Arabidopsis thaliana: one gene and its partners. The protein of the gene in region 1 purifies or fractionates together with the protein of each later gene. This does not show direct contact. Each region holds a gene or a part of one and is shown on either strand. Other genes may lie near its edges.

Region 1 (5,716 bases):
AATGGAACACCAGAGATCGTGAAGACAAAGGAGTGGGATGGTAAAGATGGAGAGTTGATTGAGGAAGATGAATTCTCACTTGATGAGCTCATGGGAGGTGATGATGCTGTTGGTTCTAAGGATGAGTTGTGAAGAATCCAAGGGGATTTTGCTACTTTTGGGATCTGAACCGCTGAATGTATTTCACCCTTTTTTATTTTTGAAAAGAAAGTAAGAGCATTTCAAGAGATAGAACATGTACGGATTTTGTATTACGATAGACACATAACAGAGAATCTATGCTGGAGTTATATTAGAGTTCATTGCTAGTTTTTCAGTGGAGTTTCATGTTATCCTTGAAGCAATCCACAACATGCATGTCGATTTGAGGATTTTAGTACCTATATCGGATTTCTTCTTATATCAACTAAGCACTATGAAGTATCAATCCTCTTACTTCTGGCAATATGAACAGGCAATCATTGACTAGTATTCTTGGTTCTAGCACTATCTATTAGATAGAAGAGATATTATTTGAAGAAACCCACTGGTATAACGACCAAATTTAAGTCGAACCCTTTGGCAGCAACTCTTTAGTATCCATATCCAAGATACATTAAACATCAGATAAATTCAAAGGAATAGGAGAATTACACATTCTGATTTCAGCGGTGAGAATAAGGCAAAGACCGAGAATAAGCATACCGGGATGTTACTAACGAAGGCGGAAGCTCAGGTTCAGTTACGCTTGGGTATCTTTGTGATGATCGGTAGTACTCAGCCAATGAATCCGGTGTTACATACCGGGAATACAGGTCATCATCTTGTCTACCTGGAGAAACCATGTATGTCCTTGGTGGTCTTTCAAGAGCATGGCGCTCACAAATGTAATACGGATCTCTCCTGTAGGAATCCAGAGTAACCGCTGAATCTGGTGGGTCAGGCGAGTTTCGAACCAAGATTTCCCGTCTAGAAGTAAGATGATCATACGTCTGGTAGTCTCTCTCAGACAAATGAGGGTGACGAACTTCCCTACGGTCATGCCTCTCAATCTCTGCTTGTCTCAAAAGCCGGTCATGGTCCATAGATGAACGGTAAGAATCCAAATGAACACGGTCTCGGTTGACAATGTGGTAAGAAGAAGAGGATTCTGGAGGTGGAATTTGGTAATGCTGGGTTGTTTCTCCTCCTCTCAAGCCATATGTTCGATACTCCCTTTCACTAAGATATAAATCACGCGGTTGTTCTTCTCTGCGTGGAGGAGGTGAAGCACGTCTTCTTTCATGTTTGCGTGTTGGGTGACCCCTACTGCTACCAGGGGCATACCGGTCTCTATCAGATCTTTTCCTGTCAGTATCACGAGGAACAGGGATTTGCTGGGTGTGGGTAACTTGTGCAGGGATCGCAGCTGGCCGAAAAAGCTTTTTAAGCTTAAATACCTTTAAGAACACCATAATAGAAGAGACGAACAGAGTGATTAAGACGTGTTAATAGTAAGATATAAATTAGAGAAAATGATGAAAATATGAAGGTCACCTGCTTATGAGTCAATTCTGTTTTGAACTTGTTTTTATTATTGTAGTTCTCTATGATTGCTTTCTTGAATTGGCTCTCAGCCAATGGGATGCAATCACTAAAAACCTTAAAGCGCACCTGAATCCAAAGAATATCATCATCTAGATCCGTAAGTTAAATAAATTCCGACGAAAGAAAACTGATATCATCTTCGAGACAAGTTGTACAAATGGAAAACGGCTAACAAACATGGGTGACACACAATGTTACCTGAGCAGGAAAGGATCCACCAAAAGCATTGCGCTCAAGTTTCATACCACCAGCAGAGGATGCTTCAAAAATTCCATAGAGGAGTTTGAGATCATAATCATAAAGAAAAAGCTTAAGCCCAGGCTTGATACCCTTGACAAAATCCTTCCTTTTCTCTTGTACACCCATTACACTGAACCGAAAACAATCGGGTCTAGTTTTTGTATTGCACATGAAGATCAATCCACCAATCTTTACTTTCCCAGGCCCATCCATTTCTCTTTTCTCAGGGTCAACCGGCTGCTCTTTCCTCTCTTCCATTCCCTGTTCTGTTGTATCAGCACCAGCTACTACATCTTGCCTAAGTTTCTTGTTTGAATCTCTAACCTGTTTTGTTGGTCTCTTCCTTTTGCGTCTCTTGTCTTCAGTCAAGCCAGTTTTGGCTTCTACAGAACCGTCAATAGCTTTCTTAGCTACGATCAAGTTTCCTCCTGGAGAAGCTCCGACGTCTCTCTTATCAATTGCACTCTCTTTATCCATCCCCTGAGCAAGAGTACCTTTGAATTTTTTTTCCCTTTGTCTCTTAGCTTTTCCCTTTACCTCTTTTAGTGTTTCCTTACCAGAAGGCTCCCCTCCAACAACTTTAACATCAACTGCAGGTTGAGTAGCTACTGCTAATTCTTTCTGAAATTCCATATCGTTTCCTCCAAGATAGGGTTCTGAATCTTTGTCCTTTTCGCTTTCGCCAAGAGAAGGCTCTCCACTTTGTTCACCTTCCTTGATGACATTCTCCTCACCAGCCACCTGAGCAGCAGTGCCTTTTATAATTTTCCTTTTTACCAGCTTCTTTACTTTCTTAACAATTTTAGTTTTCGCTGGTAAACCCTGAGGCTTTTTCATTCCAGAAGAAGTTGCTTCAACAGAGGCAGGAAGAGAAGGTTCTTCAACAGTCACATTTTCCGTATCATTTTCCTCTACCGGTATTTTGAAGGTAGCCAAATCCTGATTGGTATCCAACAGACTTTCAACAAACTCGTCATCTGCCTTACTTTTTCCTGAATCAACGGGTTCTACAACCTCATTCCCATCCTTTTCCTCAGCTTCAACCACTACATCCCCATTGTTCCCGGAAACTTCATCATTCTGAACCACCGAAGCCTCAGGGGCTTTCTCATTCTCATCATTCATAGCATCTTGTAGTTCCATTTTCAAGGAACAAGCAGATTTCAAAGCTTAGTCGCTGCAACATAAAACGAAAAAGAGATCATGAATCATATGGTAAAAGAAACATTAGCAAATGATTATTCAATGACATTTGGCATCAGAAAGATTCTCTTCTCATAATTCCAATCTCCAAACAAGTAGATTATAATGTCAATGTCTTACAAAACAGTAACTGAAACAAGAAGATTGTAATTAAGACAGCAATTAAGAGATGAGAGAAAACATTTGCTAAAGTCTCTGTCTTTTTTTTCATCACTTGTAATCTTAAGCTAATCAATTAAATCCCGAAAAGGTTTCCAAATCAAGAAAATGTAAAAAGACTGTAATTGACATGTATAGAGATCCGGGCAGAATCAAAATGAATAAGCTCAAACTTTGGTTACCCTGAAATTGAGATTGATTTGAAACAAACCCGAAAAGGAAAAAAACAAATCGAATCTAGAGTCTGCTCGAAGAACTCTTACAGAATCGAAGAAAGAGCAGGATTTCTATGACGATGATGATGATGTTTCTCCAAATCCGCGGCACAAGGTTCTGATTAGATCTCTAGAAAGATCTTATCACAATCGAATAGAAAGAAGAAGGAATTGACCAAAGAGTTTAGAGGAAGAAAGCTTGTTCCTTTATGATTCTTGTTTCTTCCTCTGTTAAAAAGTCTGGACTTTTCACTTGTTTAAAAGGTACTGAGAGACGTGCTTGAAGACTAGCGAGATCAGTCTTATAGAGTTTTCTCGTTGAGATCAATTTTGGATTGTAGCTGTTCTCTTCTCTCTTCATTACTTTCAAAAGCCATTCCGGTGGTGATGTTTGAATTGGTTCCACCTCTAAAGGACTATCGATTTTGAGTCTCTTGCGAGTACTCTCTTCTTTGTCCATGTGGCGACGTTTCTTGAAGTGGGTAACGCAAGAGGAAGAAGAAGGTTCAGATTCCGGGTTAGGGTTTTGTAGTTCAGATGATCTCTGTTGTTCGATCACACGCGTCCATGGTGTTATCGTCTTGTTAGAAGAAGAAGATGATCGGTGAGTTCTGTTCTTTCTAGGTATTGTATCTCCAAAGATTCTTGCTTCTGTCTCTGTATCTTCGTCAATGGTCTTTGACTTGTGTTCGTCATGAGTACCGTACTCATGATCGTAAACCATGACAGCGACTTGTATCAACATCTCGAAGTTTGAGAATTCACTCGACTCTGAAACCCTAGGATCATCAGATTCATCCATTCTCTTCGATTCTCTGGAAGACATGGGAAATTGTAAAAAGAATTTGTAACGTTGTACGCAAGAAACCTAAAGATGGGGAAGAAGAAAGAAAGAAAGAGAGCTAGAGGAAAGACAATGAGCGTGAGAATGGAAACTTGAAAGTAAGAGAGAAGGTAGAGATAGATAGATGTGTGGTGTTATTAAATAGAAATATATGACGTCATCTCAAGTTCTTGATAGATCACTAAATCTAATAAGATCTTCTAATGAAATTTTTCCTTTTCGGGCCCTTAATTATGACCGTTATGTGATTTTGTTAACATTTTAAACATGTGGCCAACATAAGGAAAAATACCAATGTCGACAAAAAAAAAAAAGGAAAAATACCAATGTCTCTTAACTCTATTTCTTAATGTAATTTTGTTGGTTTATGAGACCAAAATATTTTCCTAGTGTTCATAACTTAATATTAGTTTATGAAATAGTTTTTAATATAATATTAGCATCTAAACACATCATACATTATATTTGAATAAGTATATCAAAAGTTTAATTTCATTGAAAATCATTGTATCAATAATTTCATAGAAATATTTAGTGTTTTCATGTGTTACGGTTTTCAATATCCTATCAGTTTCTTCTTTTTTATTTTTATTTTTTTTATATTAGTTTCTTAGTTAAGGGTTTTCAAGTTTTTAGCTAACTGGAAAATGCAATATTTGGAGAATTTGTACCGGAAAATTGTTGTTACCCAGAGCGTTTTACTTGTTGAATCTAAAGCCCAAATGTACAACAAAATCTGGAACACGCTTTTAAACCTAAAGTTTTAAACTCATCAGCTAAAACTCTCTTTACATATATATTCTTACACAAGAGTGCGTCGTCGATGTTACAAGCTGCTGACATTAAAATACCTCATGGCTCTTTTGCCAAAATAGGCTTTCACTTGCTTCTTCTCACAAGTCTTGAGTTTTTTTTTTAAGTTTTATCATTTCCAATCTACTGGTTAACCTCGTCTATCCTCCATAAGCATTCTTTTCTCAGCGGCGAATCTGTAAATATAGCTTTGATGAAATCTTGTACCTGTAACCAAGTACATTCCAAAAGCTTTCAGAATCACCATAACCAATAATCAAAGATCCAATAATCACCATAAGAAATAGCCTTAATCCATATATCAGGTAGTAGGACACGAGGTCAAACGATTTAAAAAGATTGTACCTCTGTTCTTGTGAAATTGCATCTAAATAACTCCCCGCTTTCCCAAGCTGAAGTTATAGACATGAGAGGCATATCCAATAGTTCTGGAAAATGATAAACAATAAGAAAAGCCATGGTAAGAAAACTTCGCTGCGCCAATGTCAAGTTAGCAATAAACTGAGGGATATTTAAAAGAAAAAAGAAAGAAAAGACATGCCTGCTAGTTTACGGGTTTTGCGCAAAGATGGTATGATATCATCAAGAGGACGAGAAGTCTCATCTGCAGATCTCACGGAATCGAGTACAGAAGATAGATTCTTCAACATGAGATAAATCAGTTTTTGTAGCTGAG
Region 2 (4,165 bases), on another chromosome or scaffold:
GCAATTTTCCCACCTCCACCACCATACGTTCATGTAGCTCCATATCCAACTCCCATGGATGCTTCAGTGGTTCCAGCTCCAGGACCAGCTGCTGATGACAATTCCCCAGATTCTGCTGTCCCAAAAACTCCACCTGCACCTGCAACAGACACACCAGAGGCTGATTCTCCAGCTCCTGCTCCAAGCGCCGATAATGAGAAGATTGAAGCTGCTGATAAGGCTAAACCATCTTCTTCTGCTTCTAAGGCTGGTTGGAGCTTTGATGTTATTCTCTTGTTAGCATTTTTGGCTAGCTTTGCTGGGTTCTAAGATTCGGGTGATGTGGGTTAAAGACAATAATGGTAGGTGAGATTCAAAACAATTTTTCTGTAGCTTTTAGCCAAGAAGAGAGACACGGCCATTGGAAGTGAAAGAAACCTAAATGTAATGAGCTTTCTACTCATCATGCATTGTATTTATCAGCCATTTTGAATGCAAATGTGATGTTTGTCCTATTGATTTTGTAACACAGTTCTAATTGTGTTAGAACATGCTTTAACCAGTGCATAGATTGTTAGAACCATGCATGGTCCCAACAACAAAAAACACTTATGCATCGGTTTGCTTCAAGCAACGAGATGAATAATAAACTAGCCTTACAAATACGAGTTAACCCCAAAAACTACAGAGATCCTTCTCTATCAACTAATCATGCATTGCCAAACGACGAGACTGCACTTACAGTGCTCATACCGAAACAATAAAAGTGAACCTAACAAATCTGACATTACTCTAGAAAGTCTTCTGCAGAAACCTAATTGATTAAACTGAGACCGAGGCAGAAACAAAGAACAGATTCATTTGACTTTCTTTATGATGTCCTCGATGACTTCTTCCATATCAAGTGCCTTCATTGGTGCAAATGGACGTTTCATCTCCTACAAAATGAGATAAACATAATCTACATCTTTAGGTCTATGTTAAGATTGAAAGGCAAAAACATATTCATGATTTCTACTCACAATAACACATTTCTCGTAATGAATAAGGATCAAGTTGATTTTCATTCTCATATGCATATAGAGCAAGTGGTGTTATGAGAATTAGTAATAACAATAAACCTTACTCAAACTGAACAAATCATATGCAGAAGCGAGACAAATTGAGATTTGTTTTTATTAGAATGAAAGTTTTTACCAAAAGACTGATGAATGTTTGGCCACCTTCCTCCCGGATCTCAAAGCAACCCCGCCTTGGCTGTTCAAGCACATCAAAAGAAAGAATTAGTAATTTAGAAGAAAATCTTATCAAGTATAATGTGAAAAGTATGCTCTAACGCATTAGTCAAAACGGAGCATTCATGACGATATATTCATCTGCAGTAAAAGCATTACCTTTTCAGGATTAAGAGACACCGTGACGCCAGGAACAGCTCCCTCCAAAGCTTCCTTCACCTGAATAGCTCTTGTCTTGAAAGCATTGCATTGTTTACTTCAATAACATCACAAAACAAAACAAAAAAGAACTCTTGTGAGACATAAGTATAGAAGCAAATTCCATTTATAGAATGAACACGTCCATTACGCATTGCAATTCAGCTAAAGCAAGACAAGAACACAAACAGAAAGCAGATAGTCAAGTCCTCTTCACAAATGCGAGCAAAACATAAACCACTAATCACTCAAACCAAAAACTTATGCAGAATCAAGATGAAAACCTAACACATTGTTCCACCCTAGCAAATAAACCTTAGCTGCTACACACGGACACACAAGTCTCAACACATACCCCAAAGTTGTAGGCTTTTAGATTCAATTTCAAAGAAAAAAACCTAAATTTTTGCTCTTATGATTCCAAACATTATCTCTAAAGAAATCGAAAACATTTACGCAAAAATTACCAGTGTTCTATAACAATCTTGGTTCTCGTAGGGTCCTCAACCTCTGGCTCTTCCTTCTCAACCTCCTCCTCAACGGCTTCCTCTGGCTCTTCAACTTCCTCTTCCTTCTTTCCCTTCTTGGCTCTCCCAGTCTCAATCGCTGAATTCTTCCTCTTAGCCTTCTTCGTCGCCGGCTTAGTGGCGGATCCAGCCGCTTTAGCACCGTTTTGTTGAGTCTGACTTCGAGTTCGACTGTCCATGCTCCGAGTCACTCTAGACGACGCCAACGTCGTTAAAGGTTTCGCCTTTTCTTCTCCATCTGCCTTACTCTTCTTCGGCGGCATTGTACGGACAGCAACAGGGTTTCGTCTTAACAATCTTCTTCTCCTTCTTCTCCGTCTCTGTCTTACCGCTCTTTCTTACTTTTTTGTTGTTTGATATTCCCTTTTGTGTTTGCTTTTTTCTTACCTTGGAAAAGTAATTCGAATAAACGGTAGAGATTTAACCTACAAGGGTTATTAAAAGGTTGACCGTTAGATTGCAGGGGTTATGATTATGTATTCTCAATGCCCAATAGTGCGCTACTGCTGTATCACACGACACATCCACGTGCTTCGAAACGCTGTGGTGTTTTGCCTCTAAAACGCACAACTACTTACCGTTTTGATTGGATAGAATGATTTTATTTTAATTCCACTTCTCTTTTTTACCTACATTATTTTGATTCCAATTCATTTGGCTTTTTCTAAACTCAAAATAAACTGAAACACTTTATCATATTTATTAAGAAATATTGATTTTCTGATACATAAAGTAAGATAAAAGTCTGTATATCCTTCTAGCTTTTTAGCATTTTGGTCACTGCGGACAATTTTAAGAGATTTTACTAAAAGTATCGTCCAATCCTTTTGTAGGTTTTTATGACTCAAGCCATCAATCCAAATTTCCAATATATGATGATAGTTGAAGTATTTGGATGTAGTAATGCTAAAATGTAATATGTTAATAAGTCGCATACTCATGGTGAACAAACATTCATCCATTATGGTGACATTTTTGTTTGTTTGTTTGTATAATAAAATGCAGGGGGAAGCTTTTGCAACAATGTGTGCATGTTGGAGAAATCTCAGTTAGCACTTTCACAACCAAGCTCCATGGGAAGATCTTTTGGACCTAAATATTTTAGAACTTGTTCATCACATCACAACCATCATCTTCAGTCTTCACTGTTACTCTATTTGTCTGTCTTTCACATATTAGCAAGTTGGTGAAATCTTGATTGGTTGATCCTGATCCCATAACAAATTACACTAATCTCACACAACGACGAACCCTCTTACAAGGTTGGTAGCATGCTAAACGTATGGAAAAATTTGGGAATCTTTTCTAAAAAAATAAGAAACTTGTATATATTTTTTTTCAACACAAACTTGTATTCTAAATCTACATAACGATGTAAAAACAAGTTGAATTTGTGGAATCGCTAACTATCAATGACGGGATCCAAAACCGGTTATTCAACATCGTCTTGTAAATTTATTATCCAAATTTCCATTGTTTAAAATCTGGTCTTGTAAATTTATTATCCAAACATAACCCAACATCGTCCATTATTATCCAACTCTGTCTAAACACTGAAACAAGAAACCGAACATGATCCATATGTCTAGAGATTTTTGAACTGTGGGTACCAAAGAAGGATCAATGTTCTAATCTCAAGTCTCAATCTAAAGTTTGAAGTCGTGGGTACCATTTTTCATCAACCAAAACATAAGCCAATCCAATCCAATCTTTTGTCTAAAGGATTGGTTACTTCGAACCTCAAGTCTCTGACTATTTTAAGCCGTGGGTAACTTGATCTTTGTCTAAAGACTGACACAAGAGACCGAACATGATCCATATGTCTAAAGATATTCAAGCCGTGGGTACCAAAAGAATCAATGTTGGAATCTCAAGTTTCAGTTCACTCGAAAGACTAAAGTTTAAAGCCGTGGGTACCATTTTCCTTGCACCAAACATAACCAAATCCAATCTTTTTGACAAAAGATTGGTTACTTTCGAACCTCGAGTCTCTGTCTAAAGACATAATGTTTTAAGCCGTGGGTATTCTTTTGTCTAAAGATTGAAACAAGACACCGAACATGATCCATATGTGTAGTGAGTTTCAAGTCGAGGGTACCAAGAAGGATCAACAGAAACTTGTATTATAAATCTACTTAACGATGGGAAGACAAGCTGAATTTTTGGAATCGCTAACGATCAATGATGGGATCCAAAATCCGGTTAGTTTAACATCGTCTTGTAAGT
Region 3 (5,651 bases), on another chromosome or scaffold:
TGAAGAATCTGGAGGAAGAAGAAAGAAATTACAAAGAGAAACTTGGCGGAGAAGAAAGATAAGAGAGATAGAGATGGTTTTCGCGGTTAGAAGAAGAAGGTCACCACCATGGGCTAGAGCTTGGAAAGAGTAGAAACGAACGACCGAGAGGTTCAGAATCAGTTGCGTCAACCGATATGGGTCCACCTTTACTCCTTGTTTTTATTTTTATTTATCAACATTTCATTTTTCTTTTTAATTCACAGATTTTTAAAATAAATCACGAATATTAATTTTTTGGTATTATAGTATAACATGCAAATGTGGTGGTGATTTCTTTTTAACTTTTTCAAAAAAAAAAGTTGATTTATAAAACCAAAATCGAAAAATACACTACTTTATTTCAAATTCAAAATTTTTTTGGAGAAAAGTATTGAAAACTTGTTAAAAAAGTGTTTATCGAGTAATAAATTTAGAAATTTGGTTAAATGGTGTGTGAGTGAAGAGTAAAACCGTTCTATACCTTCTACCTAATTTCTGCAATAAGTACACTTAAAATTAAAACCGGATTTCAAATTAAAACAGAGCAACTGACATAAGCAACTTTTATTTAATGGTTTTCTAACTACATAACGTAAGAGACTTGAAGAAACCATCATAAAAAGTAGAAGTGGTCATAAAAATTACATAAGCGTTTTTGATAAACATCAACAACAACTCCTAAAAAGCCTAAGGAGACAAAATAGAATAAGAGACACAACAGTCTAAAAAAAACACGAGGGAACAAAGAACAAAGCTGCCTACACAGATATGGACGATGGAGAGAGATGGGAAGCATGAACAATGGTAACATCCTAATTCACTTTACAGACATTACCCTACCTCTCCTTGTTGTTTGGTTAGAGACACAATCATCATCATCAGTTCATCACATTGTTCTTTTTGTTTTTCTCCTGCAAACACCCTTATAAGATTAAAAATTTCATGTAACACACAACAAGTAAACCCACCACTTGCTAGCTTTTTATGTCAAGGCTTTATCTTTAGAACAGAGCTTCTTGCATTGCCTCTGCTTCTGTCTGTCCTTGACCCTCTGCTTCTGGTTCGGTTTCAAGGTGTTCCTCGTCTGGCAGCTGCACTTCTTCCATGTGCTTTGGCTCGTTTGTTGTCTCTGCTATCCCTTCCAGGTCCTGTATGGCTTGAACCACTGCTTGATTTCCACTTCCTCCTATCTCGGATTTCAACACAATTACAATATCCTTAGCTCTCGCTTGCTGCATAAATGAGATATCAAAACCAAGCATAAGCAATTAAGTATCAAAACCAAGGACGGACCATATTGTGTTTCTGTTCATTAGATTACTTACAAACAACTCAAACTTCTTCTTCAGTTCTCCATAGTCACCATCTTGTCGTCCAGAAGCTCCCACTGACACCGCATTCTATGTTTATAAATGGCAATAATATAAATGTAATTAGATAACTAACTCATCAATATAATAGACAAAGAAATTCTAGTGGACTTGGAAATACACAAACTCTTGAACTTTGACTGAATTAACTAAATTTCTGCTTAAAACAGACAAAACTTGATAAGATGTCTGTCTCAAAAGATAAGTTCATATGTAATTCTCACACTTCAACTGAACAATTATTGGTTGCTAAAGCGAGCCACCTACCAAGTTGCTCTTGATTACCAAACAAAGAGATATCTTAGATTAATAGTACACCACAAAACCAGATTAAGTATAGGCCAAAAGCAGAGACACGAATATAAATTAAACTCTAGAATTTATTTAGTTAGATACTCTCTAGTCTCCACACACACGCTCGAAAGAGACAATGTTGAGAATGGAAAGTGACATTTATTCACAAGACAAAAGTTCCAACTTTTATTCTCTTATCTATTTGACTAGAAATATTCAAGTTCTCTATAATCACTGTGTAATCGCAGAGACAAAAAGGAATGATATTTTACCTTTCTGGGTCTTCCTACGGGTTTTCCAGTACGAGCAAAGCTTCTCATCGGCTTCATAGGCTTCCTGATAACACCTCCAATCTTAGGAGGCCGTCCTCTTCCTCGTTTCTTGACTGCAACCTCCTCTCCTCCACTCTCTACGTTAGTTGGTGGTGGTGGTGGTGGAGCAACAGAGGAAGCACCACCAGCGTCAACTCTCTTTGGTCTCCCTCGGCGTCTAACACCACCATTAGCAACATACGGGAACACTGAAGCTGGAGCTGAGACTACTATAGGCTTTCTCTCCCTCCCAGCAGCTCTTCCACTCGGAGGTCTACCTCTTCGTTTCACAGTCTCCACACCACCGGAAACAGAAGCAGCTGGCTTCACCGTCGGCGAAGTTCCATCTTTTCTAGGACGACCCGGCGGTCTCTTAACCGGCTGCTGTGGCTGTAACGGTAACTGTGGCGGCTGTATCTGTATCTCCTCTGGTCGAGAGACAGGTAATTCACTCTGTTCCCAGGTGAGTTTTCCATTAGTCAGAGGTTGAGGTTGAACAACATCTGGTTTAGCTTTTGGAGGTCGACCACGACCACGTTTAATAGTCTGAGGAGTAGAAGAAGCCAAAACCGGATCAGGTAAAGGTTGGTTCTCGTTGACTATGAAATCAGATCTGGGAGGTTCAAGACTAGGAGCTACACTAGTAGGAGGAGGAGGAGGAGGAGTAGAAGCAAGCTTGTAAGATTTCTTAACCATGACAAGAATCCCACTGGTCTTCAAAGTCTTGAGATGGTGTGTCAACAAAGCTCCATGAGCAGTAGGAATCCCAGTGTAAATTCTCTCTATGTACCTCGAAATAGCTTGCTTGCTTGACCCATCTGGTTCGTTTAACGCTGCAATCGCCGTGCAAATCATCTAATCAACGAAAAAAAAAAGTGAGTGGAAATTAAAAACCCTAACTTTAAAGTCAAAATGTAAGAATGAGCTAAGAAGAGCTTACGTCAGAGTAAGGAGGGTGGGAAATAGATGGATGAGGAGGAACTGGAGATGTTTGTGGCTGCTGCGGAGGAGCTGCTTGATAGAGATGGATGTTGTTTGGCGGCGCGACGGCGGTGGGTCCGGTGAAGAAGGGGTGGTTTGGAGAGGCGAAGGGGTTGGTGTTGGTGAAAGGAGGGAAAGATGTGAACTGAGGAGGAGGAGGATGATGAGGATCATTGGTTGCAGAGAGAGAAGGATCCATGGAGGATTTAGTGAGAGAGAAAAAATACAGAGCAAGGAAGGTGATGAGATTTTTGATTTTTAGTTTTTTTTTTTTGTTTCGGTTGTTTTAATTTTTCAGATAAAATTAAAAAAGTTTTGTGGAAGGAGAAGATAAAAAATAAAAAATAGTTAGGTTGGAGGAGAGAGAGTGTGTGTAGTAGTGTAAGAGAGAGATCGAAAATGACGACAGATGAGATAGTTAAAATCTGACCGTTGAAAGTGTATTTTGGTGCTGATTTACGACACGGATCGATGACGTGGCGTTTTTTGCTTTTGTTATTAAAATTGAGTTTTGTGTTTCTTTCAATTTTTTTTATATGTTTTTCTGCTTCTCTATTCAAGTACCATATTAAACTATATGTAAACATTTTTTTTCTAATTCTGAAAGTTTTTAAACATGCTTTCATTTCTTTATACTAATAAATTTCTAGAACAAGATTTTTTATACTAAATTCTCTACTTAATATCGGTTTACAAAAAAAAATGTATATTTCTAACCAATCAGTTTTTCATATTCTTTATGTTTTAACATTTACTTGGATTATATGATGTGCACTAACACCTTCTTCATTTTCTTGATCACTATCTCACTCTAATTCAAAAAAAAGAAAAAGAAAATCTCCAACAGTTAAAAAGTGCTATTATAAACACGTTAATACTGTTTTAGGTAAAATAAAACTCAAATTTTAATTCACTTTTTGTTTTAAATTTTTAATAGCTAATTTTATTGACTTTTTGAAATAAGACACTTCGTTAAGTTGCTTAACGAAATAAATTTACAACGCTAAATTTTCATCGAGATTCTTTGTTAAACTACGCAAAATGACACTAATATGATTTAAAAAAATTAAGCTCAGAAAATATATTTGAACTCCTTATTCATTTTTCAATCCATATATACATAACCAATAAAGGTAAGTTGAATTTTTTCACACCACAAACATTCAAATTTATATTCTTTAATATAAACTTTCTAAAATAAAAAGTTTAGATTTAAATCACCATAGTCTAATTGGGTTACTCTCTCGTCATGGCTGATTTAAATTCTCTTGTATAGCCTTTTCATTTTGTGTTTCTTTCAACTTTTTGTTTTGTTATTCTAATTCTCTATTCATGTACCATAATAAATTATATATAAACAATTTTCTTATCTAATTTTGAAAGTTTTCAAAAAAGTTTTCATTTTTTATATTTAAAATTTTTCTAGAATAAGATTTATAATTTCATTATCTACATTTATAACAAATCATTTTTTCATATTCTTAATGTTTTAACATTTATTTGGATTATGATGAACATTAACACCATCTCATACTATGTCCTCGTAAATGGCACTTCCTATGAAAATTGGAAGCTTTCATGGAGAATTCGACAAAAGCGATGATTTGTCTTCATATATTTTTATTCTATGTGCAGAGATTTTAAGTCAACTGATCATCAAAGTTGAAACAAATGGTGGCATCGAGAGCATACGCATCGCTCAGTCTGTTCCTACGGTTAATCATTTCTTATTCGCCGATGATTATTTGTGTTTTTGCAAAGTTGCAAAACAAAAACTACTGGTTACAGTATATATATATATATATATATATATATGTGTGTGCCAATTATTATAAGTGTTCAACTCAAAAGGTTAACTATGAGACATTCTTAATAATATTTGAATAAAACGCATATTCATAGAATCCTAGAGATAACAAAAATTGGAGGAGGAAACAAATATTTGAGTTTACTAGAGCAATTTGGAAGAAAACAAACGAATTATTTGAGTTTGTGCAGAATAAGCATGACATCTAAAGGGCCAAGTCTCTATTCTTCACTTGAGATTACGCTAATTGGAGATGTTCAGGGATTCTATGGACTGCTCTATTCAGCCTAACGAATGATCTTAAGTCCAAATCTCAATAACTCCAAATCATTCTGTTACATATATCCGACTTCTACCTTTTGGGATGGTTTGGCGCATCTGGAAATTGAAAAACGATATAATAATGTTTAACCATAAATATTATCAATCTCATAGGTCTACAATGTAACAATGATGTCCACAAATGGATAAATGCCCAAGCTGACTAAAGTCAACAAATGCAACCAGGTCCACCACAACACAAAAATTTGGGCCGAATGTATCATTGATAGCAAGTTGAGAAACCTCTAAACAATGAATATAAGCAAGACACTACTTGGTGAACAAGTATATTACCTTTTAATAAGTAACTAAACAATATTAGCCTTAAATTCCTCAAACTCAATAACCATCATTATATGTATCAGAACTCCTATAAGTATTCCCAATCCGGGTCATCTTCAAATGGAACTCTTTGGCCGTTATCTTTCCATCACCGTCAATATCACAAAGAGCAACGATCTCTTCACTACATAAAATAGTCTAAACCCGATGATTTTTATCTTTGGACATTCATCAGAAAAAATTCATTATCACTAGAACATATGT

What was found.
Region 2: the proteins of AT2G32910 (region 1) and AT4G31360 fractionate together in Arabidopsis thaliana (co-fractionation; one large-scale study listed by BioGRID). This does not show direct contact.
Region 3: the proteins of AT2G32910 (region 1) and HON5 fractionate together in Arabidopsis thaliana (co-fractionation; one large-scale study listed by BioGRID). This does not show direct contact.

The regions. Positions count from the first base shown.
Region 1 is NC_003071.7:13,956,918-13,962,633, reverse strand, and holds AT2G32910 (DCD (Development and Cell Death) domain protein), read right to left. Parts: upstream 3,568-5,716; 5' UTR 3,432-3,567; intron 2,984-3,431; 5' UTR 2,950-2,983; coding exon 1,765-2,949; intron 1,633-1,764; coding exon 1,516-1,632; intron 1,419-1,515; coding exon 645-1,418; 3' UTR 516-644; downstream 1-515. Other genes in the region: PDIL2-3 (PDI-like 2-3), read left to right, coding at 1-132; AT2G32905 (B3 domain protein, putative (DUF313)), read right to left, coding at 3,568-4,209; ATZW10 (centromere/kinetochore protein, putative (ZW10)), read right to left, coding at 5,164-5,247, 5,386-5,468, 5,582-5,711.
Region 2 is NC_003075.7:15,219,982-15,224,146, reverse strand, and holds AT4G31360 (selenium binding protein), read right to left. Parts: upstream 2,305-4,165; 5' UTR 2,203-2,304; coding exon 1,880-2,202; intron 1,471-1,879; coding exon 1,374-1,470; intron 1,237-1,373; coding exon 1,177-1,236; intron 918-1,176; coding exon 837-917; 3' UTR 520-836; downstream 1-519. Other genes in the region: FLA5 (FASCICLIN-like arabinogalactan protein 5 precursor), read left to right, coding at 1-309.
Region 3 is NC_003070.9:17,973,126-17,978,776, forward strand, and holds HON5 (high mobility group A5), read right to left. Parts: upstream 3,539-5,651; 5' UTR 3,177-3,538; coding exon 2,937-3,176; intron 2,852-2,936; coding exon 1,958-2,851; intron 1,422-1,957; coding exon 1,347-1,421; intron 1,254-1,346; coding exon 1,023-1,253; 3' UTR 517-1,022; downstream 1-516.